Linked DNA regions of Mytilus edulis. The protein of the gene in region 2 interacts with the protein of the main gene of each other region in a biochemical or structural test. Links are inferred from orthologs where the notes say so. Each region holds a gene or a part of one and is shown on either strand. Other genes may lie near its edges. The genes, in order: cAMP-responsive element modulator-like, serine-protein kinase ATM-like, serine/threonine-protein kinase ATR-like and serine/threonine-protein kinase Chk1-like.

Region 1 (7,442 bases), on a different chromosome or scaffold from region 2:
TGGCATCAATTGGGGATTTGATGGTCGCAAATTAAGTTTACTGGTGACGCGTTAGCGGAGACAATAAACGGGTGTTTGCAACCATCAAATCCCAAATTGATGCCGTCGGAGCTTAAAATACAATATTGTTATCTCCATTCTAATGAAACTGACAGAAAACAACGTTAAAACATGTATTTAAAAACTGTCATATGCCGTCTGCGCTTGTGCGTACGTCCCATAGCATCAATTGTCAATTGATGCCATGTAAGAAAGTGACGATATCCAATCAAAAAGAACGTTACAAACGTTGTTGCATTAGAATCCTTCTTCATTGTTTTACCATGTACATTTGTACATCCATTTTAAAAATATCTTTCCCTTTCTAGTCTGTTGGATTAAAACTTACCCTTACAACCTGTATAGTCTGTACATTAGGTCCAGCTGTTTGAATGACTGAGGGTTGATTTGGGTGTATAACGGACTGTACTTGGATTGGTGTATTCATGGACATCTGTACAACAGATAAGCCTTGGGAAGTATCCAGGTCTCCATGAGCATGATGAGATGGATGTACCTCTGTCATCTCTTACGGACTCTGAAAAATATAATAATGAAACTAAGATAAATCAGAGTGCCCACCCGTATGTGATAGAATATTTCTCTTGTGGCACAGTGCCACAAGAACAAGAGAAATATTCTATCACATACTCCAAATAGAATGAATAGAAAAAAGACCATCTTTTTCAGTTTCAAATGAAGTATTTGTATTTGTAACAGTATTAACACATACATACATTTGACCAGCTGCCAACACATAACATACATTACACAAACATAAGTATAAACGTGTATTTTAATGAAAAGAATCTAGCATTTGACAAAATATACAATGTATACTGGTATATGGTGGTAATTACATTGTATGCACCCAACTATAAAACTGGTACATGCATATGGTGGTAATTTAAATTACATTGTATGCACCCAACTATAAAACTGTCATCTGTTGTAGTTACACACAACTTTAATGAATCACACATCACCTAGTCTGGGATCAAAAACAATTTGTGCTGAAACCAGTGAAGGTTGCAATGGACATGGAAGAAATCACCTGACCAACTTTTAGAGTGCTGTTTTTATACTACAATAGCTTGACAAACATGTATGCAAATTATATAAGATATCATTAATAGTATCAATTAATAACCAGATAATGATTTACAGCTCATGAAATTGGAATAAGAGAACAGTTTTCCAATTCCATTGTTTAATATAATCACCAACGCATATAATTTATCTGTTTAAGAGTAATAACTAAAATATATTTATCCTACAAGAAATGTCAAATTAATGTACACACAAGATTACTAAACAATATTAATTTCTATGGAAAAGAGGCACAATATTGTTGTACATGTATGTCACAATTTCGCAATCCCCCCCCCCCCCCCTTTTGGTTGGTAATACAGGGAATCACTGAAACATGATGGGAGGAGGTCCCCTCTTAGGCAGTCAGTGGACCAAAATAGACTTAGTAGTATTTATATTGTTTAATTGCAGAAGTGCTTACCAGTATACATTTAAAAAAATAATATGAATAAATTGAGAAGCATGACAAATCGCCCCACTAATGAAAAGAGGTAAAATCTGATACACAATCAAGGGGAATAAATTCTGAGGATTTTGATGACAAATTCTAACATGACGACTGATTTTAAGATTTATGCATTGAACCAAATATATGATCTTATCATTATTTGTCTGCCAATTATACTGGACATTAAAATTTTAAAAAGGTTGCCACAAAATGGAAAATTTTTAAAGGGATTGTTGTATGACAGTTTAAAATCCAGTGTAGCAGATTTCCAAATAGAAATAATGTCTAAAGACCTTATAGCTAAATTAGACTCTGAAACACTTGAACTAAATGTATTGATGTCATAAATGTACATGTTCCTCCTGTTTTGTTGCATCAAAACATCTCTTTTGACTGGAATGTTTGCATGACCAGTAATGGATGGACAAATAATAGTGGTGAGAAATATTTGCACTTTGAAGTAATTTGGTGTACTTATGGGACCAACAGAATAGCTTATTGTCGACCACTGATGTTCCCGTAAAATTCTATAATCAGTTTTTTATCGCAAGAGAAAATAATGCCATAAAAAGAAAAGAGTATTTAAGAGTCAATTCCAATGGCTCAATGTCATTGATTTTCCAATTGTCAATAAGACCTTTACAAATAACACAGTAATGTCATGGCTGGTGATAGTGGTGTGCACTAAATCAACCTCATACAGGCATGCGCCGGAAAGTAATCCTCAAAAAGTTGATGGTATTCCCTAACTAAAGAAGAAGAGAAGAAAGAAGAAGCATGTTTGATGTCAGATTGGACAATTTTTGCAGGACAACAAATTATGATTTTATTTTATGTTAAATTTGACAAATATAAGTAGTCTAATAATAATCATATAATGTATACCATTATAAACATGATATAAACAATAAACTATACTGTTTAGATCTGTTTACTCTTTATTTTGAACTGAAATATAACTGGGTAATGCATTTTAGATTTGATGTCGAGTAAAATATGCTGAGTTGCTTCTCTGACATTTTGCTTAGTGAAACTGACCCATATTCTCTCTGCATTCTCCTGTTCTATTTTTACTTGTTGAAAAGTCCGATTTCCAGAGTGGGACAAGGTACATCAACAATCTGCTTCTTCCGGTTAATCTTCTGAGTCAGCTGTTGTTGCTCTCACAAAGTTCCTTTTGTGATATAAATCACATTCAAAAATTTGATTTGATCGTTTTGAAAATAATGATCCCCTCCGAAGATAAGCGTATTCTCTGTTATCAACTTGTTTGTTTTGTTTCGTCAGTGGAGTACTTACTTGTTACGTACTTTTCGTCACCAATTTTGCAGTAATCGGAGTGGATAAATTTGCAGAATACGTAGTCGCCACGTCAAAATCTGGCTGCAGCGTCACAATCAGGAACAACAAAACTGCTGAATAATATATTCATCCGCGTGGATTTCCTATTGCACGATACCTGATTGGTTAACTTATCTCACATGACGTCATACTGTCCAAATATAGACCGTACTACTTTTTTGTATCTTGCGGGTATAAAATTTGATTAAATTCAAACTGAATTTGATAAATTACTTTTTAAAGAATTATTTTTCTTTCAAATTTAATAATTAACAATCTGTTGGTTTATACATAAATTTCAATTTCAACGTTTCATGTGTTTTTATTATTGCGGCGTAGTTAGCTGGTTTGGTATTTAGTAATTCGCCAGGAAAGATTCAAAGTACTGTCACCCGAAATACACGGGTGTCTCACGGGGAGTCCTATATTATGTAATTTGATATGTATTCTGTCATTTATTGGATTTTCATTTTTTGTTAAAATCTTTATGATCCCCAGGGGGCCAAAATTTGTTAATGAAATTGATATTGTCTTATCCAACTATAGGCTACAAATCATTTTCTTATCTTATAATTACTCTAATTACTATAGTAATTAATTAATTGCCTCAAATTCGAAAGTTTTAGATTTTAGTTGTTTATATGATTCCGATATCCACAGCCCTATAGATATAGATGTCGACATATATAAATGTACATGTGAATATGGATCTGTGCCGATTAATTCGATGAGCGGAGAGAAAATAAAGAAATGGGATATAAACAAGAAAGAAGATTTTATTATAAATTTAAACAGAGAAAAGATTTCTGAATTAGAAAATTATCTTGAAGAAACCAAATCTTTTCATGCTGATTCAAACATTATTAACAAAGCTGTAGAAAATATTACGAACATATTTGTTACTTCTGCAAAGAAAACATGCGGAACATTAAAAAACAAGTCAAAGAACGAAAATACCCCTCAGAGTACAAGATCACAAGATGAAAAACCATGGTTTAACATAGATTGTAGAATTGCTAGGGAAAATGCGAGAAAATACAGAAGAAAATATAAATTAAACAAATTCATTGTAAACCATGAATATGAAACGCAGTGAAAGACAATACAAAAATACCATGAACAGAAATATAAAAAAGTATAGGAAAAATGTGCGAAATGATATGAAAAATATGAAAAACACGAACTCAAAAGAGTACTGGAAAATTCTAAATGGAGGCTCTAGGAAGAAACAACCTAATATTTCATTGAAAAACTTTATGATTTCTTCAAAAATTTAAATCAAGGAAATATAGAAGAAGAACAAGAGCTAAACTACGAAGAGATTGAAAGAAATATCGAAAATAATTTATTAAATGAAATGATTACGCCCGATGAAATAATAAGAAATATAAAAAATCTTGAAAAATAACAAGGCAAGCGGTGATGACCTGATTATAAACGAATTCTTCAAAGCTACGTCACGGTGTGCTTCAACAGAAATCGTTAATATCTTTGTAAAGTTATTCAATCTTATATTTGATACAGGAATCATACCAGACAGTTGGTTATCTGGAAATATACATTCTTTATTTAAAAATAAAGGAAATCAACAAGATCCGCAAAATTATAGACCAATCACTATTCTTAGCTGTTTTGGAAAACTGTTTACGTCCATCCTAAATGAACGATTAACGAAATATTTTGAAAACTTTTCAATAATACATAACAATCAAAGTGGCTTTAGGAAAAAATATTCAACAACAGATAACATGTTTATATTACAAAGTCTCTTCGACCTAACTAGATCGCAAAAGAAAAAGTTATTCTGTGTTTTTATTGATTTTGCTAAGGCGTTCGACACAGTTTGGAGATGGCATTGAATCACATTGATGGAACAATGCATACATTAATTAATACATAGTATGTACAACAATATAAAATCAAGAGTTATATACAATAATCAAAAATCTGATTTTTTCCCCATGTAACACTGGAGTTAGACAAGGGGAAAATCTTTCCTCTCTATTATTCTCGTTATATATCAATTAATGACCTCACTTTTTTTTTCTATCACATAATGTGAAAGGTTTGTCATCAATATCGAACTCCCCTGAAACTAGCCTCAATATCTATTTAAAGCTGTTCGTTTTATTATATGCCGATGATACTGTTCTAATGTCAGAAACAAAGGAAGACCTTCAAATGCAATTAAATTGCTTCGGTGAATATGGTGATACTTGGAAACTTAAAGTAAATACATCTAAGACTATAAAGTTTTAATTTTCTCTAAAGGAAGACAGCCTAATAATATTAATTTCATTTATGAAGAAAATGAAATTGAAATAGTGAAAGAATTTAACTACCTTGGACTATTGTTAACAAGATCCGGATCTTTCAATAAAGCAAAGAAAAGACTATCAGAAAAAGCAACAAAAGCTATGTACAACGTTATCAAAAAAGGGAGGCAGTGTAATTTATCAATTGAATGCCAATTAGAGTTATTTGACAAACTGATGAAACCAATTCTTCTATACGGATGTGAAGTATGGGGATTTGGAAAAAAACACATTATTGAACAAGTTCATCTCAAATTTTTAAAGCATTTACTACACCTCAAGAGATCTACCCCAACCATGATTGGGTACGGTAAAACCGGACGATACCCATTGGAAATAAGCATTAAATGTCGAATGATAACATAGAATAAAAATAAAAACAGTGTGGCTGTGGCCATTGTTTGACACATTAAAAATCATCCATTGACTGGGACAATTTACGTGAACGTTTGTCTGTAATGCCCGCGTCACACTGTCCCGATTTTTATATACGATGGACACCCGAATGCTGAAATTGTAAGTTCGTACGAAGTTGGTCCCGATCTCGTTAAAATACCAAAAAGTGACCGAAGCAAGTACGACGAATAACGAAGTTTATACGATGGTGCCGAAATTGTATACGATAGCAAAAGATGGACATACGAAGGTTAGCCGAAGACGGGTATTTAAGCTTCATATCTCAGCCGTAGCCTACACGATTGATCACGAAGGCTACACGATGGATTACGAAGGCTACACGATGGATTACGATGATGGCGCGATGGCCATACGATGTCTAAAAAATACGAACAGAATTTCGACAACATATCGTTCCTGTACAAGTCTGCCATGCATGGCGGGTATTCAATCTTTTTGTCTAATTCTTATAAAACTTAGTTTATTATCCCCTCGCCTACTCCATGTAAGTTGCGTGTAGATAAAATTGTTATGGACACTCTGGAACCAAAATGCTCAAAACTTGGTATGGTGTTACTCGTTAAGAATATCTTAAGCGCTATTGACTTTAAAGTTCAAAGGTCAAGGTCACAGTGGCAGTTGTAATACAAGGCAATATCCCCCTTGTGGACACTCTAAAACTAATATGCTTCAAAAGATTTTAACCACATTTGGTATATTGTTCCTCCTTGTAATGATCTGACATTTTTTACGTTCAAGGCCAAAGGTCAAGGTCATGTAGATGGACTTGTTTTTTTCTCCTTGAAATAGCATAATACCCAGGAAATTGGTTGCTCATTTTTTTACCTGCTGGTTCTAAAGACAATATTAAAGGTATTTCCAGGTACTAAATGTTTTGGTTGATTTCTAAAAAAATAGTTTATTTATCAAATATGCATATTCAATTTACCATTTTCTGCATGTGTCATATATACAAATACAGTGTCCATATTTGTCCCCAATATGTTACATACGAGGGGATGCCACGCTCGGCATTGCCTTGTTTGAACTGTAAAATGTGTGCACTAGTCTGAATAATCACCCATAATTATGCCCATGTTTACTGATCTGTCTTAAAGGTAAGGTAATGGGTTCGTTGATCCCTTTTATTCAAAAAGAGCTCTTTCCAGGAGAATATCACAATAATATAGACAAAAGGAAGGATGTGGTGAAAGCAACAAAGGCTGCAAAATATGACATATAGAAAACAAAATGGTTATGGAGTAAACATTCGTGTGACAACAACTCAGACGATACATAAAAAATCAGAATAATAAATAAAAAGTTGGTTTCCCTATATACGTGTACCTGCAGTGTTTGTGTACGAGGCGCGTTTATTTAAAGGAACCCCAGCATGTAATGATATGAAACAATCCAGATGGAAAAGGCCTGAACATATCGCTCTTATCATAACTAACGTTTTTGTCTTTTCGTGTTGTTGTTGTGAATAGAAGAAATTGAATATGTTCCGACATTGTCTAATATAAATTAAAAACTCTAAATTATTTGTCACCTTTAATTATGTTACTTGATATAAAAAATTGACAAAAAATAATATTTTACTTGTAAAAGTAAACCCTGAGCCTGTAATAGCTGATCTTCTTGTTCCATTTGAATTAATAGAAACAACGCTGTTGCCTTTCTTGTTCTCATAGAATCATATAATATGAGCTCCATGTTTTGTGAACGTCTTTCTTAACTGTCGTATTGGACTGACCAGTTCATATCGCGCATGGCACTTTAAATGTATTTTAGCGCGAAAATTAACTTTC
Region 2 (7,436 bases):
GCACATAACAAAATGTATCATATATGGTTCTAAAGAATACACTTTCAATCCATAGGTTTTGATAAGTATTGAAAATCAAAATGCACTTTACATGAGAAATAAAAGTTTTAATTTTCCAAAAGCTAGGAAAACAATATAATATAATAACTAAATTTTATTATGTTGAGTCTTATAACTTCTCCTCCTTCAAGTCTCATTGATTTACTTACTTTGAAGACATAATCCCAAGTTAACTGTTCATCAGAACTTCCAGCATTCTTACTGTCTGTATATCTATCCAACGCTTTGATAACAGTACTCTTACACAGTAACTGACGAAATTTCTCTGCACTTTTCTAAAATAATGAAACCAAACCAGGTCATTTGTAAAGAAGTTAAAGGAAATAACAATCCTAATTTATAACATAAACACCTTTCTTGTAGAAATAACAATCCTAATTTATAACATAAACACCTATCTTGTAGAAATAACAATCCTAATTTATAACATAAACACCTTTCTTGTAGGTACTAACACCCTGAATAATATAGTTTACAAACAGAAGGTGGAGTTAACTGGGGGTGACATCATGTGTTCATCCTTCATTATATTATGTGGACTTACAGTGGAAAACAATGCTTTACCCCAGCATTTTGTTTCAATTGATGAGTGTGAAATCAAATGTAACTTGCACTGAGTATGGCTGTGTATTCTGGTCTATTTCATTAAAAAAATCCTAGTTTATGAACCTTTCGTTCAATTTAGAGGTGTGGTGCCCCTCAATTTACCTATCACTGGGAGTTGGGATATCACACTTTTTGAAATAACTTAGGGTTCAGTTAATTCAAAAAAAAAGATTTACAAACATAATATAGTTGTTGTATAAAAAGATACAAACCTTTCTTTCTGTTATTTTTTCTAACAACAGTCCACGACAGCAGGAAATCACATCTGATAAGCTATCCATTTTTTCATGTTAATGATATGCAATTCTAAATTGAAATAAATGGTTAAGATTATTACCAAGTTATTAAAATATTTTTTTTTTATAATTGAAAAACATTCAGTGAGCAAGCTCTATAAATTTGTTTATAAAGAGTAACAGCTTATAGCTTAAACCACAAAGCAAAGAAATACAAGTAAAACTTATAACTATGAGGGACAAATAAATATATCCATCAATTGTGATATCTGCTTTCTCTCTCAGCATTGGTTTTGGAATAAATAATCAATAGCAGAAAATGATATGTTGATAAAACTTAGTTAATTATATATGTTTACATACATGTACAATTTTCTTATACCTTGGCTTAGAAAAATAGATGGAAAACAGTGTACTTTAAAATTGAATAGCTGTAACTGTATAGTATCATAACTATTTGTTATAACTGGGAAGAAAAAACACAATCACTAAAGCTACACACAACAACTAGAAGGCACACATAATTTTAAATGAATATAATTTACCAGCAAAATTCAGTGCATGTAAAGTCTGCATACAAAAATAAAGAGGTGCAAATTCTATGATTTAACTAGTTTAATAAATAGTTTTGTCCATGTTAGGGAATGACTATTTCACTTCCAGGGGGGTTATCATGGTTATTGTTTTTTTTCTATCTCCACATTGATGTAAAAAATAGTGATCGAGCAGATGACAAAAAAATTATTCTTAATGCAAATTCCTCCCATATCATCTGATCATATGGCTGAACATGCATGTTAAAGTACATATATTTTACAAGTTTTAACCTCTTTCTTCTATGCCTATGGTCTGATCATTTGTTTTCATACATAATATGAATTTGTACTATGAATGCTTTTTCAATAGAAATTGTGACGTCACAATGCATTTTTAATACCACGAAAACCCATGAGATGAGGATACATTTTACCATTTGTAATACATTTTTCATAATTAAACACTCCAATTTTGTCCCTATTGACATTGTAACCGGAGAGCATAAGTTTCATTACAAAATTGCTTGTCTCCACCGTGACTCGAACCGATGACCTCTGCCTTACAAGACAATGTGCTAACCGATTGAGCTAAAGAAGTACTTCCTTAGCTCAACCGCTTATAGAATATCTACCGCATTTTCTAAGGGAAGCAATCCTGTCACACTTCCCCAACCTCACGAGTCATCATACCATTATGACTCTCACACACATTACCCTAGCTAGAATTCCTCTCTAACTTATGTGGGTTTTTTAGCTGGGCGCCAATGTAACCGGAGAGCATGATTGATTGTTGGTTGCTTTACGCCGCATTAGCACAAAAAGGCTATATCGTGGCGTCCGGAGTGCATGAATTTCATTACAAAATTGCTTGTCTCCACCTGGAATCGAACCCCGAGACCTCTGTGTTACAATGCAGTGTGTTAACCGACTGGGCTAAAGAAGTACTTCCTTAGCTCAACCACTTATGGCTGACTAAGTATCTATACCACATTTTCTAAAGGAAGCAATACACCTTATCTCTATTAGCCTTATCGGCCGGCTGAACCAGCCGCTTGAACTTTTGACGCATACAACAATCACTTTTCCATTGTGGCTTCAGATATTTTATTTTATGACGTCAAAATTTTACGGGAACCAGTGTGATATCCAGTAATGGCGGACAAATAACGATAAGGTGTATCCCGTCAAAATAGTAATAGTATAATTTGTTCCTGTGTAATCTATTCAGCAGTTTGCACTTGATTTATGAAGGGTGAGATTGTCTCTGTAACTCTGTGACAACAGAAAAAATAAAAAATGAAAATAAGTCAAGGAATGATTGAGGGCACTGACTCAGTGACTGAGGCAGTGCTGGCCTGTCTCTTTAAAAGACTTAAAACCGAAAGACCCTTCTTCTTCTTGCTTTTTCATACATGTCAGGAAAGGGGAAAATAATCTTAACAGTGTCATAAAGCAACCTAAAGTATTTAGTAATTCATTTTTAAAATACCGTTGAATAATTAGAGAAACACCAATCATTTTGAAAATGCCTCCAAAACTCAAAAACAGACGATTTTTTTTCCTACATTTTTCGGGTCTTTTCATCAAACAAATGGATAAAGCTACAAATTCCGAAAAACGGAAGTTAAGTTTGACCGTACAAACTAAATGATAACTACTTTGGCATTTTACATTATAACAAGAAAACATATTATTTTCTTCCGCAGTTTTACATCAAACCAATCTTCATTGAACTTTTAAATTTGACTTGATCGTTTATCACAATTGTAAAGTTTTATTTGAGACCTGTTATCATCTAGGTTCTTCACCGGTCACTGCGCATGTTACCGAAACCTTGATAGCAACCATTCCTAACTGGACCTGTTTGAAACGAGATTGAAGAACAACATCAGACATCATGACAACTTACAGGGTATACTTTATTTCAAAATTGGCGTAAAATAGTCTTCTTCTCTGTTTAAATAACCGTATAGTTTCAATGGACGAACTTGAATCAAATACAGTAAAACTAATTAAAAACTAAAGGTGACCCAGGACAGATTTTTCAATCTTTTCTGAATAATTCTGTTTAAAGTCATATATTGCAAATTAGTTTGACTGTTATTCTATTCTTGTTAAAATATTGGAATAAAGTATAAAAGATGTGTTTTGGTAATTAGAAGAAAAAGATAATGGGATAAGTTTGTTATGAAAAAAGGAATGTCTTACAAATTCAAGGAAGTTATATCCCAGCTTAAATTAATGTTGCGGTGCAGTCCGGTGTATCTGCACACCTAAGACTTTTGACTTCACTTCATTCAACAAATAAAACCAAAAATTGGATAAAATTGTGTGAACACTTCATAACATACTTTTATTTTATAAAATCTTCTGTTTGTATGGTTTCATCCTCAGAATTTTTAGTAATGTGTGTCCAAAATTAGGGAATCCCCTTTTCTGAGAGTTCCTCCAATGTCTGGTGATTTCTCGCATGCCTTACAAAAATAGGTTATTTTGAATAAAAGAAAGATTTTATACTACTAAATGTAGCTGAATTTGAACCAAACAGTGAAACACACTGCCAAAGATGCCAATGGATGCAGAGCAAAAAATTATTTCATATCATAATTAAATTTGACTTAGGTAAAACAAATTTTATCTGATGATGTATTTTTTTAATGGAAATTGACCAAATATGGTAAATCAAGGAATTGCAGTTATTAATGAACTCTTGAACTTATCAATTTTATTCTTTTTTTTTCCCTTCAGAAGGCTTAAACAATAACAAGAATGATTTTATTTATATTAATGTGTTGATATGATGAAATCAGCTAATGTGCGATATCACAGGCTGTGGGGACTCCACTGTTAGTGTAAAGTCAGTTGTGGTCTCCAATTTTTCAGAATCAAAGTAAAAGACTATAGAGGTATAGGGGAAGGGTTACGATCTCATAGACCTGTTTAACCCTGCCGCTATTTTGGGCCTGTCCCAAGTCAGGAGCCTCTGGCCTTTGTTAGTCCTGTATGATTTTTAATTTTAGTTTCTTACGTATTATTCAGAGTTTAGTATGAGGTCCATTCTCACTGTACTAGTATACATATTTTTTAAGGGGCCAGCTGAAGGACGCCTCCGTGTGCGGGAGTTTCTCGCTACATTGAAGATTCATTGGTGGCCTTTGGCTGTTATCTGCTCTATGGTTGGGTTGTTGTCTTTTAAATCATTCCCCATTTCCTTTCTCAATTTTATGTGTAATTTTATTGTGAGTACAACAAAATTGAAAAGATGTTCAAGTCAATCAGTCTGCACCAAAACTTTACCAACTTCTACTACATTTACTTCTTCTAATCCAAAGACTTAACGGAAAAGACCAATATTTTGCCATTTTTCATTATGTGTCTGAACAATGTTTTGCAAATACTTGCTAGTCCAAATAGAATTGTTCTAGTCTGGGACATTGGATCAGTGGCGAACGGTATAGACAGTCATTGTTTAGGATGTTTTGAACAAATTATAGCAATTGAGTGTACTGTTAGATTTTGAAAGTATAATTCGACAGAAAGAATTACTCCATTAGATTCTGACACAGCAGCGACAAGAAGACAAGTTTAGCAACTAGAAGTCAAATCTAGCATCACACAATTTTATAGTCTTATTCAAACAAATAATGTTAAAAAAAAAATACAAACTTAATGAATTTAAGTTTAGTTTTTATGGCCCCGCCACTAAGTGGTCGGGACATATAGTTTTACCCCTGTCTGAAATTCCAAAATTCCGTCATTCCACAACAAACCATTATACAGAGTTTTTTTTGAAAACCGCTTCAGATATTGGGCTGATCTTTGGAATATAAGTTCTCCATGATGAGTTACAGATCAAGTTTAAGTTTTGTTCTGCTTCGCTAATTTTTGACAAAATTATGGGCTTTGGACTTTGATAAATTGTTGAAAATCACAGTTATACAGACTTTTTTTCTAAACACTTTCAGATATTGGGATGATTTTTTGGTTTGTGAGTTATTCATAAGTTACAGATCAAGTTTAAGTTTCGCTGCTCTGCTAATTTTTGCTGTAATTTTTGGCTTTGGACTTTAATAAAATTTTGAAAATCGCTGTTATACAGACTTTTTTTCTAAACGCTTTCAGATATTGGGCTGATTTTTGGTATGTGGCTAACAATGATGAGTTACAGATCAAGTTTAAGTTTTGTTCCACTCCGCTAATTTTTTCTAAAATTAAGGGTTTACAACTTTTTTCTATACGCCTCCAGATTTTTAGCTGATTCTTTTATATGTGAGACTACCATCATGTTTGTGTCCACATGTGTAATTGAAATTGCAGATTTTTCAATTTTTGGAGATGGGGCCATTCGTGTCGCTTTGACACATCTACATGTAGTTTGTGTATATATAAAGCATATCAACATGATCAATGATATATAAACTAAAACAAGGAATTATATGAATCAGAATTAATTTAAATTCTGGATAATAGCTCTGGGTCAACATGTACAGTTTATTTTGTATTTATATCAAAACTTATTTAATATGAAAATTTGTAGTCTATTGTGAACATTCTCCTTTCTAAAAAATGTATTCTTCTAAATTATATTTCACCATAAATGCAGAAAAATAGTTTTACTGCCACCATGGTCATGCTGATGTTGAAGGTGGTTTTTAGGTGAAGATTCAAAAGTTCATGAATAATGATACAGTTTCCTTTGAGACTAGACGACTTGTTTCTACAAATTTCTTGCAATGATCACTTATGAAATAAAATTTACACTGTAGGGAGCTGACAGCAAGAGAGAGGAGTTCAGAAAATATTTAGAGAAAGCAGGTGTATTAGATGCCTTAACAAAAGGTATGATGCATAAAATAAATAGACAACTTTCGATTTGGATGCATTTCCGTCAAAAACTCTGGTTTTAGTGAACGTCATTTGTGCGTTTAGGGGCGTCGTCACTTCCATTCCAATGTTGAGCGAGTAGTTGGAAAACTATAATTCTATATTGTACGAATTATTCGGCAAATTGAATTCTCAAAATTGACAATCAGCATTGCTGTCATTAGGGAATTGTCATTAAGTACCTACAGACCAACCATTATTTGTAGTTTATCATGCACTATGACGATCACTAAGACGCTTGATGAACGTAAATGGTGCAGGGATACAGGCGACCCCTCTATCTGTTAAATGACGTCATAAAGGCGCGTATAATTGACAAGTTTTTTCCGGCGAAGGATGAACTTAAAAGTGGTCTTTTAGATTAATACATACTTATTTTTTTTGTTATTTCAATATGCATGTGTATGCTTAAGACTAGTCATTATAAAAACCAATTTAAAATCTGTTAAGTTTACATATGTTATTTAGTAAAAGTAAAATGGATTGGACTCATAATATCAATCAATAATTAAGAGTCAAGCTGTTGAAAAAAATGGCAAAAGTAATAAGTGGAAAATTGGTAATGATGATGCATGGTGTGAAGGAACTGCAAGTACACTATTAGGTACAAATGTACATGTATCATATGACAAGAAATATCTCAGAGTTTTTAATAATTTTTTCTCAAGGTCCATTATGAAGCAGAGATGTCATAATTTTCAGTAGTAAAAGAATTCTGAATTACACATTCAGAAAAAAATGGTTGAAATCTTTTTTCATGTTTATACTGCATGTTATAGAAGGCAGCAAACACAAAGACGCTATTATGTTTGACAGTTGTAATGTCTTTTTATGGTCTTTCTATTATTTCCATACTTCACACATATTTTAAGTATTTCTGTTTGATAAATTTATGTAGTATCAGTATTATGTAATTTATGAATTATCATTTTCTTTTTCAGTTTTGGTTGGGTTGTATGAAGAACCAGAAAAGCCAAATAATGCATTGGAGTATCCTTAAAATAATTCAATGGGCAAATTTGAAATTAATAAATTATACTTATGGTTAATTGAAAACATTAAAACAAAAACATCTACAATCAAATTAAAACACTGATTTTGTTCTCTGTACGTT
Region 3 (7,169 bases), on a different chromosome or scaffold from region 2:
TAAATCTTTAACACCCAACTGATATTGAGTGCCTTTAAATCTACTTTCTAATGTGTGTTGTTTTGTTCTTGAACTACTTCTCTTTGTATTGCTTTTCAACTGACTTGCCTCTGATGGATGTTCTACCCATAATGCTTTTCTATCATTACTTTTGACATCAAGATCTACACCCGGCAATGTAGATACAGGAACTCCTAAATAGATCTCAGCAAACTTGGCAAGCTCATCAAAATAGAAGTAATGATGGCCATCAAATTTTCCAACAGGTACAATATAAATTTTACCATCTGGATATTTCTCCAGTATGTTGGTTCCTTCAGGAACAAATCTCTGTTTCAAACTCTTTCTCTTCCTAGATGATATCCACGGACAATCCTGTAGAAACTGTTTGTAGGTTTGTCCTTCCTCATTGTATTGTGCTAACCAGTCATCTATATTTGTAGGTTTAGGAACTGGTTTGAAGAATTCAAAATTGTCATGTTTCAATGCATGGTATTCTAGTGGAACACCACTATCAAAGCCAATAGCCTTGAGTTGTTTATCTTTGTTTGGAGGTCTAAATCCTGATGCATATGGTACATATTTACTGTTCACCTTTGTTTTCTTTATTTTAGGCATCTTCAGTTTCTGCAATTGAAATGGGAGAAATTGCTTATGTTTTATGTTATACAGTAATATAGCATTCCAAAAGCCAAAAGACATGCCTTTTATGATTGACATGTATATGCATTGGTAAAATCTGGTTTGTCATAACACTTTTGTAAAGTTTACCTTTACAGTGCTACTATTATAGTTGTAAACAGAATAAGATTGAGTTATCTCCCATGTAATGTTGTTAAAAGACTATTGTATCTTACTTACATTTTAAATCTGCTCCCAGTCTTGGTAAAAAACAAAAAAATGTGGATTTTAATGGATAAATAGCCTTTTTTTTTTTAAACAATATTAGTATACTAGCACTGCACGTGGTATAGGAGTTCATATAAGAGCTATCAATGGATGAGAAAGGTTCGATTATAAAAAAACCTATCATTTTTGTTATGTTCATATTAACCCTGATGTTCTCTCTCTCACTAACAGTATCATTTTCAATGCTATATTTGACACAAAAGATGATATACTGCTATTGCTCTCAAAATAAAAAATAAAGATGGAAATTCTTTTAATATATAGTACATGTAGCAAACTAAAACAATGTCAATGAAAGTGATAATGATATAGAACAGATTTTAAATTATTTCTACTGGTGCATTTTTTATAAAGTCAATACGTCTAGAAATCCATTCAGCTTCTTCATTCATACCATGATGCTGATAAAATTTGAGGAGATTTTCATATCTTGTTAAAACATTAAATCCCACAAGTGTTTGAAGTTTATGTAAATCCACTGGACATAAATGCATAGGCTGACGAAAATCTTCTTCTAAATGTCCAGAACCATTCATGCAACACTCAAAGAATATGCAATGTCCGATACCCAATAAGTGCCCTATCTCATGCACAAGTAATTTACAACTTCTTTGGAATGTAAGCTTCTGAATATGCTCCTGAGACATACGCTGATTTCTACGAATATTATACCAATAAGCATTGGAAAAAGTTAGTGATGGATCATAACGGAAGAAACTGAATACTGCCACATGATCTCCACCTGCAGCCCAACCAGCAACAAATAAGTCTGATTGTTCTCTGTATAAATCACTCATTGTTAATCCAATCACTGACAAGGCATCTTTGGGAATATTTTGACGAAGCATATATAACAAACTGGCTATTCCTATCTGGTGATGTTTGCCATAGAATCTACTTTCCAAAGCTATATTGCTAGGAGGTATTGAACTCTCACCATTAGATGAGCTTTCCGAAACACTATTTGTCCAATAAACTTTTTTATCTGTGAAATTCACATCAATATCAATTCCATTTAGGATAACAACAGGTATTCCTAAATATATTTCAGCAAAACTTGCTAGTTCATTGAAGTGGATAAAGCCTTTGCCACTAAATTTCCCAATCGGTAAAAGATATATTTTCCCGTCAGGATATTTGTCACCTAGATTTGTACCAGTTGGAATAAACTTCTGATTTATACCATTGACCGGACTTGGTGATAACCATGAGCATGTCGATAAATAGTCAGCATAGGTCTGACCAGGAGCAACATACTGTGCTAACCAATCATCAATACTTGTTGGTGTCGGAATTGGATTGAAACATATAAAATCTTTATCAGGCTGACAATTAAATTCAGGTGGTACAAAACCATCACACCCCACAGCTTCAATGTGTTCTCTGTTGGTAGGAGGAACATAGCCAGAGGCATAAGGTATATACTTCACAGTTTTAGTCCTCTTTGTTCTTACTTTTGGCATTTCTATTGGCATACGATATCCATATATAAGCCACTACAAACAAAATTTATCAAATTAGGACCACAACAACATTATTTATGATTGACATAAACTTTTACATAAACTTGGTGTTCCTAAGAGCTTGTAGATTTTGAAAAAGAGCTGACTATTATGCCGCTACAAGGCAGCAGTCACAAAGTGGAAAGGGATTGATATAAGTTGTCATAACTTATTCAGCTGTTTTAAGTTGTCATAACTTATTCAGCTGTTTAGTTGTCATAACTTATTCAGTTGTTTCCCAATCCACTATAAACTGATAAATAAATATACAATTAAACTGAAAGAAATCAGCATGTTACCAACATAAACAAACTCCTCATTTTCATAGATGTCAAAACTGATACTACTGGTCTGAGACCACAATTGTCGTCCCTTGATTTTTTGATTTTCGTTGTTCACAAATATAGTCCCTAGTGTTGACAGTGGGTAACTTGCCATTAATTTTTATACCCCTTCCAAATTTATTTCTCCATGTTTAATGCCTCAAATTGCAAGTAGGGGGGTGAAATTACACTGTAAAAAAATTTGGGTCCAGAATTTTTAAGGAAAGTAGTGATGTGGTCCAGCTGAAAAAGGTTTAAAATTAGCACTTCGGAAGCTGTCAAAAGATTTCACGACGCCCTATAACATAAAATTGTCCATATTTTGAGTTAGAGCCGATGAAGTTTTCTATAACTTCAGGGATCTCCATGGATGAAAATTGAACCATGGAGGAAATTTCACCATCACAAACCGTGCGTACGCCGTACAGTGAAGCGTGAACAAAGTATACCATCACTCCACATAAGGATTGGTGAACATGCTAACTCATTGCTTATTTAAATTATATTTATTTGAATTTTCATTGTAAATACTATAAAATAGAAGTATAACTTCAAAGGCCAAGCCTTCATGCCCCCCACTTTAGTCGAGAATGACTGTACAAGCTCAGGTACAAGTGATTAGCGATCTTAATCCAGATATCCCTCAGGTGTTAGAACTGTATTGGATTATAATATAAAAAAGCCTGAGGGTTATGCAATTACATGCATTTGATTATAATTGCTAAAAAAAATGGCGTCGGGCTACTAAAACGATAACAGTTTTGAAAGATGGCGGAAGACAATTTAAGGATGGCGCAGGTCATTTGACGATGGCGGAAGACATTTGAACAATGGAGCAGGTCATTTGACGATGGCGCAAGACATTTGAACGATGGCGCCCCGCCGTTCAAATGTCTTGCGCCATTGTTCAAATGTCTTGCGCCATCGTCAAATGACCTGCGACATCGTTAAATTGTCTTCCGCCATCGTGGATCCCTGAATTTTGATATAATTTGTCCCAAAAGTAGTACAACACACTGTTAAAGTTTCTTTGAGAAAGTACAGGTGGGATTTTTTTTATTTTCATTTATGTTGTTAAAGAAATGCACTACGAAATAATTGTGGTCTCGGACCTACTATAAGACATAACCTGATAACTGTGTTATAACTTATAGTAGTCTCGGGTCAAAATGACACAAAAAGGGTACCTTTTCAAGTTTGAAAACAATTAAATTAAAAATTGGAAACAATCTTACGTGTAAATGGTTTAGTGGTTCTTTCGTTTCAATATCATGTTAATTATAACTGTACTGTCACTGTCAGCTGTTTTCTTCAGTGGTTGTGCAATCAAGTTTTCTATGTAAAGGTAAAAATAGTGTCAGAACTGGTACCCTATTTTATTACTCCTTAGCTCTATACGATAATTTAAATTCGGCTACCAGGAAAACTAATTACGGCGGGAAAGTAATTGTTTTTCAGATTCAGCAATAATATAATCAGATAATTTTTTTACACTATAGCTTTTCATCTACTTGAGAGGTAATTTTAAAGATAATACGAGGCAGGCATTACCTGTAAATGGGGACAAAGTCTGTATGAATTATTTTTTTGTAACAATAATTGTTAAAAAAAGGGGATGAACATCTAGGATGTAACTGCATAGCCATAGGACAGTTATTATATTGACTGCATGAACATTAACAATAACCCCAGTTCAAAGGTTTCATCTGTGATAACTTAAACTATAGAGGTAGTTTTGAAAAAAGGCAACAATATCACTGGCCATGTTGTCAAATGAGTGGGCCATTTGTTTACAATAAAAACAATAAAAAAGTGTATAGTTAAGCAAAGAGGTACTGGTAGTGATACACAGGGCTCACGCTACCAGGCGACTTGGGCGAAGAAGTCGCTTTCCCGACCATCACTTCGCTTTCCCTAACCCCCAAAAACAAAAACAAGTCGCCTTGTACTTGACGATATTCGCTTTCAGTCGCTTCTGTCATCGGACATTTTCATTTTTTACCAAGTTGATGAAACATCAATTTTTTATTGATAATTAAAGAAATTCCGACATAAACGATTCATTATCTTAAGAAAAGAGGTTGAAGCATTGTCTTTGCAGTGTGTAGCAGGTTATTTGATAAAAATAAAACTTTTTATCACTTCGTGCATTTCCGCAAGTTCCAGTGATTGTTACTCGAAAACGTACATCAGCCTAAATTTCGGCGGCAAAAAAGTTTGTTACTTCATTTAAACATGATAAAAGTTGCCTCCAGTAAATGTTTAATCCATTTATTGCATTAAAAACGTCATGTTCCTTTCCAAATAACTTGTCAAACATCGTTTATTTTTGTAAATTTTCTTGCAATCGTCCGCCATTGACCGATTTCTAAACTATGGATCTGAACCAGACCAGCTATGACCGAAATCCTTACTTTTACAATAATTACTACGGACCCGCTGGAACAGCTGACAGAAAAATATTGATCCCAAATGGAAAATTTTCTTATTCCACACGCATTGCGAGACTTTTGGTTACATCTTATTGATTGGTGTAAATAATTCCCTATTTTTTTATGGATTGTATCAAACTATTGATTAAAGTTGCTTAACTCAGTCTCTGAGACTATTATACTATCAATATCAATATATTTTGGCACAGCTTTATAACTTTTATATTTTTTTATGAGAAACACAGAATTTCATACACATGATAGTTTTGAATTAAATTGTAATTGATATAGTATAATTTCTTTACATTTTTTAAAATATTTTTTTTTTTTAGTGCTAGTCTAGATATTAAATATTTAGTTGGTAGTTTCTCACAAGAACCTTAGTAAAACTTAAACAACTTTTAATTTGAAATGTTACTTTAATTGTATACTCAGATATGGTTTGAACAATATAACATGATATAAAAAGAACATTATTTACATATGACCCTTTATACTATAGTAAAATCCAAACATTGTAGCACACCGCGCGAATGAGCACTTCTCTTTCAAATCTCACCACTTCTCCCTATCAGTTTCAAAAAGAGAAGTCCCAATAATTCTGAAGTAGTGTGAGCCCTGGATACATGTATGATACATGTACTTACCTTCACAAATTTAAAGTTGTTTATAATAAATTATATCATGAATGATAGTTAATTAAAAAAAAGGGGGGTATACTGTTTTACCTCTGTCTGTCCTTCCGTCAGTCCATCAGTCAGTCCGTCCGTCCCATGAATATTTTTCGTCATATTTTTCTCAGGAACTACACTACCAGGATTTCTGAAATTTCAGGCTTGATATAAGTCAGCTATACTGTGTGGTGCGTTTTCTGATAAATCACTCGACAACTTCCTGTTTACCGAACACTTGTATCATTTTTACACCTGATAGCCAAGTTGAAAATTTGTTCGTCACATTTTTCTCAGGAACTGCACTACCAGGATTTCTGATATTTGGTTTCAGACTTGATATAAGTCAGCTATACTGTGTGATGCGTTTTCAGATTCATCACTCGACAATTTCCTGTTTACCGAACACTTGTATTATTTTACACATGATAACCAAGTTGAAAATTTTTGTCACATTTTTCTCAGGAACTACAATACAAGGATTTCTTAAATTTGGTTTCAGGGTTTATATAAGTCTGCAATACTGTGTGATGCGTTTTCAGATTCATCACTCGACAACTTCCTGTTTACCATGTTTATCGAACACTTGTATGATTTTACATACATGTATAGCCAAGTTGAAAATTTTCGTCACATTTTTCTCAGGAATTACTATACAAGGATTTCTGAAATTTGGTTTCAGGATTTATACAAGTCAGCTATACCGTGTAATGCGTTTTCAGATTCATCACTCAACAACTTTCTGTTTACCGAACACTTGCATATTTTTACACTATTAAAATTATCCACTTGCGGCGGGGGTATCATCAGTGAGCAGTAGTTACCATAAAAAGTTCACTTGTTATATTATACTTTGTTTATTTAAGCACCTTCAGCAGGAATGAAAAACAAATTGATAGCAAAATCTAGATAATTTTTTTATATTCTGAAACTAGAAATGCATTTAGATTATATTAATCTTGGTCCAGCCATGTTCTTGAACTTTTTCAGGCACACAGTTTGTCTGTACTCAAAGTGAAATTTGTGGTGTAAATATGGCCATATTTGAGAAAAGGTTAACTGATGATACTGTCTTTGAAGATAAATAAGGCAGTATCATAAAAATAAAGTTTATTCCCTTGCTTTTAAGTTTAAAACATAAAGAATGGAAAATTAAATTGTAAATAGCAATCATGTACATTCTTACTTAATTTCATGAAAAAGATAATTTTCAATGATCTAAACACACAAATATTATTTCTGGTATATGTGTCTTCCCAATTTCATTATAAATCACATAAAAAAACTCCCAAAATCCCCTAACTCGAATAATTCAAGCCCTTTCCGTGTCCG
Region 4 (6,880 bases), on a different chromosome or scaffold from region 2:
TTCCTGACATTTTCTGCTGCAGATGCTGTTTTCTCTAGGTTTATAATTTTAACAGCTACAGCTTCCTGGGTATCAGTATTTACTGCAAGTTTAACTCTGAAATTACAACTGCATGTATACTATGTTGACACAAAATAACTATAAGTTAAAGAGTTATAAGAGAGTCACAAATTGATATAACAAAAAGTCTGATTGATCAGTACCCAATCTTTGAGATAAATATGCATACAAATTACAATAGAAAAATGGGTTTCATTTTTTTACATAAATAAGGCCGTTAGTTTTCTTGTTTGAATTGTTTTACATTGTCTTATTGGGGCCTTTTATAGCTGACTATGCGGTATGGGCTTTGCTCATTGTTGAAGGCCGTACGGTGACCTATAGTTGTTAATGTCTGTGTCATTTTGGTCTTTTGTGGATAGTTGTCTCATTGGCAATCATACCACATCTTCTTTTTTATATTATCAATTTTTGTGTGCATTGTTCTGTGGATTTTTATTTTAAAAGATAGTATTGCATTGCTGTAAACATGGTAAGTGTCTACATGTTCTACAATTGTTAAGTTCTGTACATACTCTCCATATGCTCCCTCTCCGAGTGTCTGGACAAAGTCCCAACCTTCTACAAATGCTGTTACTTCTGTCATTGGATCATGACATTACATGTATCTGTCTACAAAGTAAAATGTTATTTGTTGTGTTACATACATGTGATAAAAGATATCATTTTGAAAATACTTTGTAAGAAACTCATACTAGACATGCTAGAAACATGACAGAGTGTACGTCTTAAGTCACTAGTTTTCTGAAAACCTGACAGTCCTTTCCAGTACTGACCACTATGGGCATGGCACTAAAAATCAGGTTGAGTAAAATGAGGTCGAAATTTTGTATATATTTGCAGGGTTTCAGCTAGGATTTTGAGGGCTTTAGTCACTTTTGCGCGTGAAAAATCAGCCTTATTTTTTTATAAAGCAAGGGATCTAGGATGTTTATCAAACTAGCTATACATATATGTCCAAGTCCTTCAAGGACTAGTCTAGGATCTTTGAAGACTTTAGGATTGCTAATGTAGGCAGTTATTGGCAATATTGAATGAATTGACTAATGTGATGCTAAGATATGAAGATAAGAACAGGGATCTGGTAATATGGTCAAAACTTCAATTCAGTTATTTTCAGGGCACACCCCTTACAAGAATCAACAAAAGTTGGGTGCCTCTATTTTTTAACCACTGCACAAATGAACTTCTAACGACTTTTCACTTCACAATCAATTATATCCTTGAAAATACGTTTTAATATCTATTTGGAATCAATTTCTTTATTATTGGATAGAAGGATCTGCATCTAAACTTAATGTGACGATTCTAATGACTGTAGACTGTAGAGCACGTTTACTTTCGATTTTTAAACGAAATGAAATGAAAACGGGAAGTGACAATTGAATAATAATTTCAGAATAAAACCGGATTCATCTACGAACTTTTACACATGCGCAATGCATAGAACAGGAAGCACCTGTTTGCAAGTGAAAATATTTACGTTTTGAATAAAGTTCATTCTTTTTAATCGAAGTTGTCGAAAGTTTTTGATGAATATTTATATAAAGTATGACGAAAATACGTTGAAATGACGAAACTACGACAAGCAAACTGCAAATTATGATCGTAAGGAAAATATTGAAATAAAAATAAAGTTGAAATGTCCGGGATGTTCAAATGACGAAAATACGACTGAACTGTGAGAAATGATTAAAATGAAATGCTGACTGACTGATTTAACTGAAATACATTATTATGATGGTCATTTATGAGGTTTTATAATGATAATTAAGGGATTAGTGACCCATCTGATTGGCGATAGGCGGATTACTTGTCATCACAACTTTTAACACCTTTGGTAAACGTTAATTACCTGAGGGTCATAAACTTGTCAGAAACATAAAGACAGGTAGAATTCAAGTAATTTGATGTGTAAATATTTTTACACTTTCCAAATTTAAGTGACGAAATTGATATGAAATATTTTCGTCATTTCGAAAACCTTTTCGTAAAATACGAAAGTGACGAGCGCTAGCAAAATCACTGATATTTGCTCAAAATTCGGATTTGTGGTCGTATTTTCCCTTTCCAAAGAAAAACAAAACTTTTTTGTTTTAAAAGATAAACACAAATTGCTTTTAGATAAATAATTTGTAATTTCTGTATTTTATAAGTACCCTAAAATTAAATTTATACATTTTTTATTCAGAAAATAACTCATATTTATCAAATGTTCATGAATGAAGAAAAAACATCATTTTTTTTAAGTTTAAAAAAATTGCACTATTTACATTTTCATGAAAATTGGCACACATAACCCCCTCGCATAATCAAACCAAATGGCATTTTAAAAAAGAGGGGTTCATAAACTTGTTTTCAAGTTAAATAAGTTTGAATGATAAAAATCTGTCAAAAACTGAATCTTTTCCCGATAAGTCATAGTTTGACGTCGTGAAAATAACAATTTACGTCAGCAACTTCATTACCTCCCCTGTAACTGTATCGTATGCCCTTAAATCTACATGTACATTTGTTTATCAATATTTGATATGGAACCATAAAATTGTTTTGCAAATTAGAAAATTAAGAGGTTAAAAACTCACAAGAGCATGTCCTTGTTTGTACAACTATGCCGACTCTTAATAAAGCTTATTTATTTATAAGATCTAATAACTGGCTAGTATTGAGGTGGTGTATGAGTGTCCCATGAATCATAATGATGTTTTATATCTGTCATAATCTGATGATAAATTGGTGTGGAAATATTAAGGTGTTTTGCTGTATGACTGCACTCAATTAACAAAGTCAGGTAAACTTTTATCTTACCATAAGTAAAACATAAGGTGTCAGATGTATATTAGAATTGCTTAGAATCAGAGTACACAGACCAAATCTCAAGTCACATTTTTCTGTTTTTGTTTTTACCGCCGATATGGATTCTAATTTTAGAACCATTTCTGGATTTTGATTCTTTTCCGGTTAAAGGAGGGTAATCTGAAAACCAAAATAATAAACATAAAAAGAGTGCAGGGAAGGGTTATAATGTTGACAGTTTTTTAAACAAACAAACAAACAAACAAACAAGTAAGGGCTTAAATAAGTTGGTGAAACCTTATTGATTTAAAAAATTGAAGGGTCAAGAAAGATATAAAAAAAAAGTTTTCCGTGTCCCTGGGACTATTATACTGATAAACAGGGACTTTCTATACTAATAGAATAGAAAGTCCCTGTACTATAATATAATAGTCTCAGCATGTCTTTAAAAAATAACTGCTACTTAAGGATGAACTTATGTGAAATTATTAAGATCAAGAATATAAAATTGATACTTTAAGTCATTGACTTTTTTAACTAACATAGCTGGAAAGTCCCTGTTTTGGTCCTGAGAAGATCATTAGTTCACTCAGTAAGGAACAAAACAAGCTAAAAATATTGATAGGTTATGTGACTGTTTCTCCAGATATTTTTTTCAATGGCGGGAAAAGACTGACTTGTTCTTTTATCATATATTTGCATTGGTATTATTTGGGTCTCAAATCAAAAGAAAAGAAATCTAGAAGTTGCTTAGATTTTGGTAAATGACCCTATGAGCTGTTGAATATAAAAAATAAAGAAGATGTGGTATGATCAGTGGCGGATCCAGGGGGTCCGGGGTTGGAACCCCCCCCCCCTTTTTTTTTAAATGTCCGGCATATCCAGAAATCAACGCCACTTTGCTTATTTGAATATTATACTAAAGAAATCGGATACGGGTCACGGAAATTACATTAAAATGATAGGGAATTTTGAAAAAAATGTCTGTTTTAATTTTAATTTAAGTGATAGACAGGTTGCCCGGGCAGAAAATGAATATACACAACAATATACACAATTTAAACGAAACATAATGACTGTTGTTGCAAAATTACAGGTTCCTGAGCTATTTTAAAAATCGAAGCGAGAGGCTTTTAACATTGCAGTGTAAAATACAGGCTAAAATGGCTGAAACGTCAAATTTGCAAACTTCGTGTTGAAAATTGGCTTACAAGGTCATTACAAAAACAGGTTGCCGGGGTGAAATATGAAACTTGAATTTCCAAAGAATAAGCAAGTCCAAACCTTGTATGTGTAGTCATTGAACTTTAGGTTCCCACGTAAAATTAAAATGTCACTATTTCAAGAAGAATAAACTCACGAAAGCACGAAAAATTCACTAAATTCGCGTTCATTGTTTTGATTTTGACCGCCTGACAACTTTACGGAAATATCAAAGTGATTGTAAATAAGGACTCTCTGACGGGCAACTTATAATATCCGTGTTTTAAAGATTTTAATGATATCAAGCCTATCAAGCCAGTCCAGTTCAAAGTACTATCACGTGGTACAATTCTCATTTACATATTATGAATATTAATTAGCAAAACCACTACTAATTTCTGGCTATGGATCCGCCACTGTATGATTGCCAATGAGACAACTCTCCACTAGAGACCAAAATGACACAGAATATAACAACTATAGGTCACTGTACGGCATTCAACAATGAGCAAAGCCCACACCGCATAGTTAGCTATAAAAGGCCACGAAATGACAATGTAAAACAATTCAAACGAGAAAACGAATGTCTGTCAAGAAGAATGTCTCTAATATCTATTCTTAATAAATCAGTATCACAAGGATTATAATCAAACGAAGATAATTTATATACTTTTGAAAAAAATTATAAATATTGGAAACTGGATAATACCCAGATGCGATCATGACAATTTCATTTCAAGGAATGTTATTTCACAATTTATAGACTTCTTTGTGATTTTATGATTTCCAGCTTCTGACATCGTCTCACATGCAACTAAGCTAATAGTACAAGTGTCTACACAACTGTTTTGATTTATAGTATCAATTTCTGATATGAGAGCTGTGTGCATTAGACATACGGATTGACTAGTGAGTGGTTTCGTATCAATCTAGTTCCTTACATATATACCAGCAGCTCACATATCAACAGGAAGTGATTCTCGGTTTCATCATTCGTCTTACACATGAAGGAGGTATTATACCATCTCGTATATAGCTTTGTTAAAACATCTCTTTCACTTTTTATGTGTACGTCCCAGTTGTCTTGTTGTAATTTTTGTATGACTGCTTCGGTTGATAGTAATCTAGATATTAGGTTAATTGCTTGGTAAGCTACATTGAAGGGAAGAGAAATTAAAGATTTGCTTGATTTTTCTCTTATATTGTTTTGACAGTGGTTTTAGATTTTTTAGTAATAAAATTTCTAAGACATAAAACATAATCGGAAATATAAATTCTTGTAGCATACATATTGCGGTCACTGGGTTTAGACTATTTTCCCCATGCAATCCTGCATACATTACAAAAGAGACATATTATATACAAGCTAAATGTATGTAATGATCTTCTGTTGGTTTTTTTTTTTAGATTTTCTTCTTAAAAGTACTTCTAGTTGAATCACTCATGAGTATCGCTTTGCATACCGAAGTGATATGTTTTGGTCACAATACTAGGCATTGGTTTTTTACCAAGTATCTTCCGCTAATGTTATTTGTAGTTGGTTTTAACTGGTAAACATAACACTTTTTTCTGGTTGGATCAGATATCCTTCGCATTGGCTGTAGTCATCCCAGTATGCCATACTTGTAAGGATGTGTACGTTAAATGGGTTATTTCCCACTATTGTTAAGTGTGACTGTCATCTATACAGGTGGGGCACAGCAACTTATCGAATCGATCTTTCAATGAAGTTTAAAGTCTACAAAGTTGGTTTACATAAACATTCAATTTGTATAAATCAGCACTTATACTTCCATTGGTCTTAATATTGCTCAGTCATGATCGAAAAATTGTAAATGATGTTTAAGATCGGGGCTATTTCACTGGTTAGTTCTATCAGTACAATTGGTTTGATGTTGTCTGGTCCAGCAGCCTTGTGTGTTTTTAGATTTTTTATTTGTTTTCTACAACATTTATGATTTGAATTTTTCTTGGAGAACAGTTTGGTCATGATTTTTGATATTTTACTTGTTATTAATGATTTAGTTACATTTGTTCGCTCACTTTTCTAAGTGTTTGATATAGGTCTAGAATCATCTTTTTGTTGCTGAACGAATGTCCTTAATTTCTTTTGGAGTTCTTATTCTTCAATATAAAAGGGGGTGGTGTATGGCACTAAGCGCAAACAGATTTGCATATTCTATCAATCAAATATTTTTTCTCACCATATTTAACCGACATAAACACTAAAAGGAATGGAGAAAATCTAGATTCAAAATATTTTTTTGTCATCTGTTTGATCAAAATTTTTTATTTCTTCTTTTAATTTGGGATCAAAACACTAACACTGATTTATTAGAATCCCCCTTTTTTTAGTTGAATAGACGTAACATATTTTGACCGACCACGCAAGACCCTCATAGGTAGTCAATGTCGTTAAAAACCCCCTCATCGACTAACATTTACGTTCTTGAAATCAGAGACATATAATACAATGTATTATATGTCTCTGTTGAAATTAATAACAAAAAAAACGTATAAATTTGTTAGAATTAACATTTTATTGGTTTTCAGACAGACCTGAAGCAACTAATTCCGTGTTGTCCGAGTTGAGTTGAAATTTAGAATGTACATTGTTATGACGACAGGCGCCAAACTATACACACATTTCTCCACTGCCAACTAGAGCAATAGATTGCTGGTGATTGTTCAGTCAGATTTACAAGAAAAACATGGCAGTTCCATTTTCAAACACAAAACTTCGCGTTCCGAAAGGATTTCAAAATGTTTTAGAAGGGCTTGCACGTGAAGTTTTGAGAAATCAACCAGATAACATCTATGA

Evidence for each region.
Region 1: of the proteins of serine-protein kinase ATM-like (region 2) and cAMP-responsive element modulator-like, one has a biochemical effect on the other in vitro, tested with the Homo sapiens proteins (2 studies listed by BioGRID). The link is inferred for Mytilus edulis from reciprocal best matches to the Homo sapiens genes ATM and CREB1.
Region 3: of the proteins of serine-protein kinase ATM-like (region 2) and serine/threonine-protein kinase ATR-like, one has a biochemical effect on the other in vitro, tested with the Homo sapiens proteins (2 studies listed by BioGRID, with this or other methods). The link is inferred for Mytilus edulis from reciprocal best matches to the Homo sapiens genes ATM and ATR.
Region 4: of the proteins of serine-protein kinase ATM-like (region 2) and serine/threonine-protein kinase Chk1-like, one has a biochemical effect on the other in vitro, tested with the Homo sapiens proteins (2 studies listed by BioGRID, with this or other methods). The link is inferred for Mytilus edulis from reciprocal best matches to the Homo sapiens genes ATM and CHEK1.

What each region holds. Positions count from the first base shown.
Region 1 is NC_092345.1:72,167,799-72,175,240, forward strand, and holds the start of cAMP-responsive element modulator-like, read right to left. Parts: upstream 3,026-7,442; 5' UTR 2,879-3,025; exon of another isoform or gene 2,618-2,878; intron 578-2,617; 5' UTR 566-577; coding exon 389-565; intron 1-388.
Region 2 is NC_092353.1:10,605,727-10,613,162, forward strand, and holds the start of serine-protein kinase ATM-like, read right to left. Parts: upstream 3,022-7,436; 5' UTR 2,928-3,021; intron 973-2,927; 5' UTR 948-972; coding exon 879-947; intron 336-878; coding exon 210-335; intron 1-209. Other genes in the region: c-Myc-binding protein-like, read left to right, coding at 3,336-3,350, 6,205-6,277, 7,264-7,312.
Region 3 is NC_092347.1:17,916,304-17,923,472, reverse strand, and holds the start of serine/threonine-protein kinase ATR-like, read left to right. Parts: upstream 1-4,146; 5' UTR 4,147-4,252; intron 4,253-7,169. Other genes in the region: archaemetzincin-2-like, read right to left, coding at 1-720. UniProt on the Homo sapiens protein: Serine/threonine protein kinase which activates checkpoint signaling upon genotoxic stresses such as ionizing radiation (IR), ultraviolet light (UV), or DNA replication stalling, thereby acting as a DNA damage sensor.
Region 4 is NC_092348.1:28,491,832-28,498,711, forward strand, and holds the start of serine/threonine-protein kinase Chk1-like, read right to left. Parts: upstream 3,026-6,880; 5' UTR 2,869-3,025; intron 673-2,868; 5' UTR 647-672; coding exon 576-646; intron 97-575; coding exon 1-96. Other genes in the region: triadin-like, read left to right, coding at 6,771-6,880. UniProt on the Homo sapiens protein: Serine/threonine-protein kinase which is required for checkpoint-mediated cell cycle arrest and activation of DNA repair in response to the presence of DNA damage or unreplicated DNA.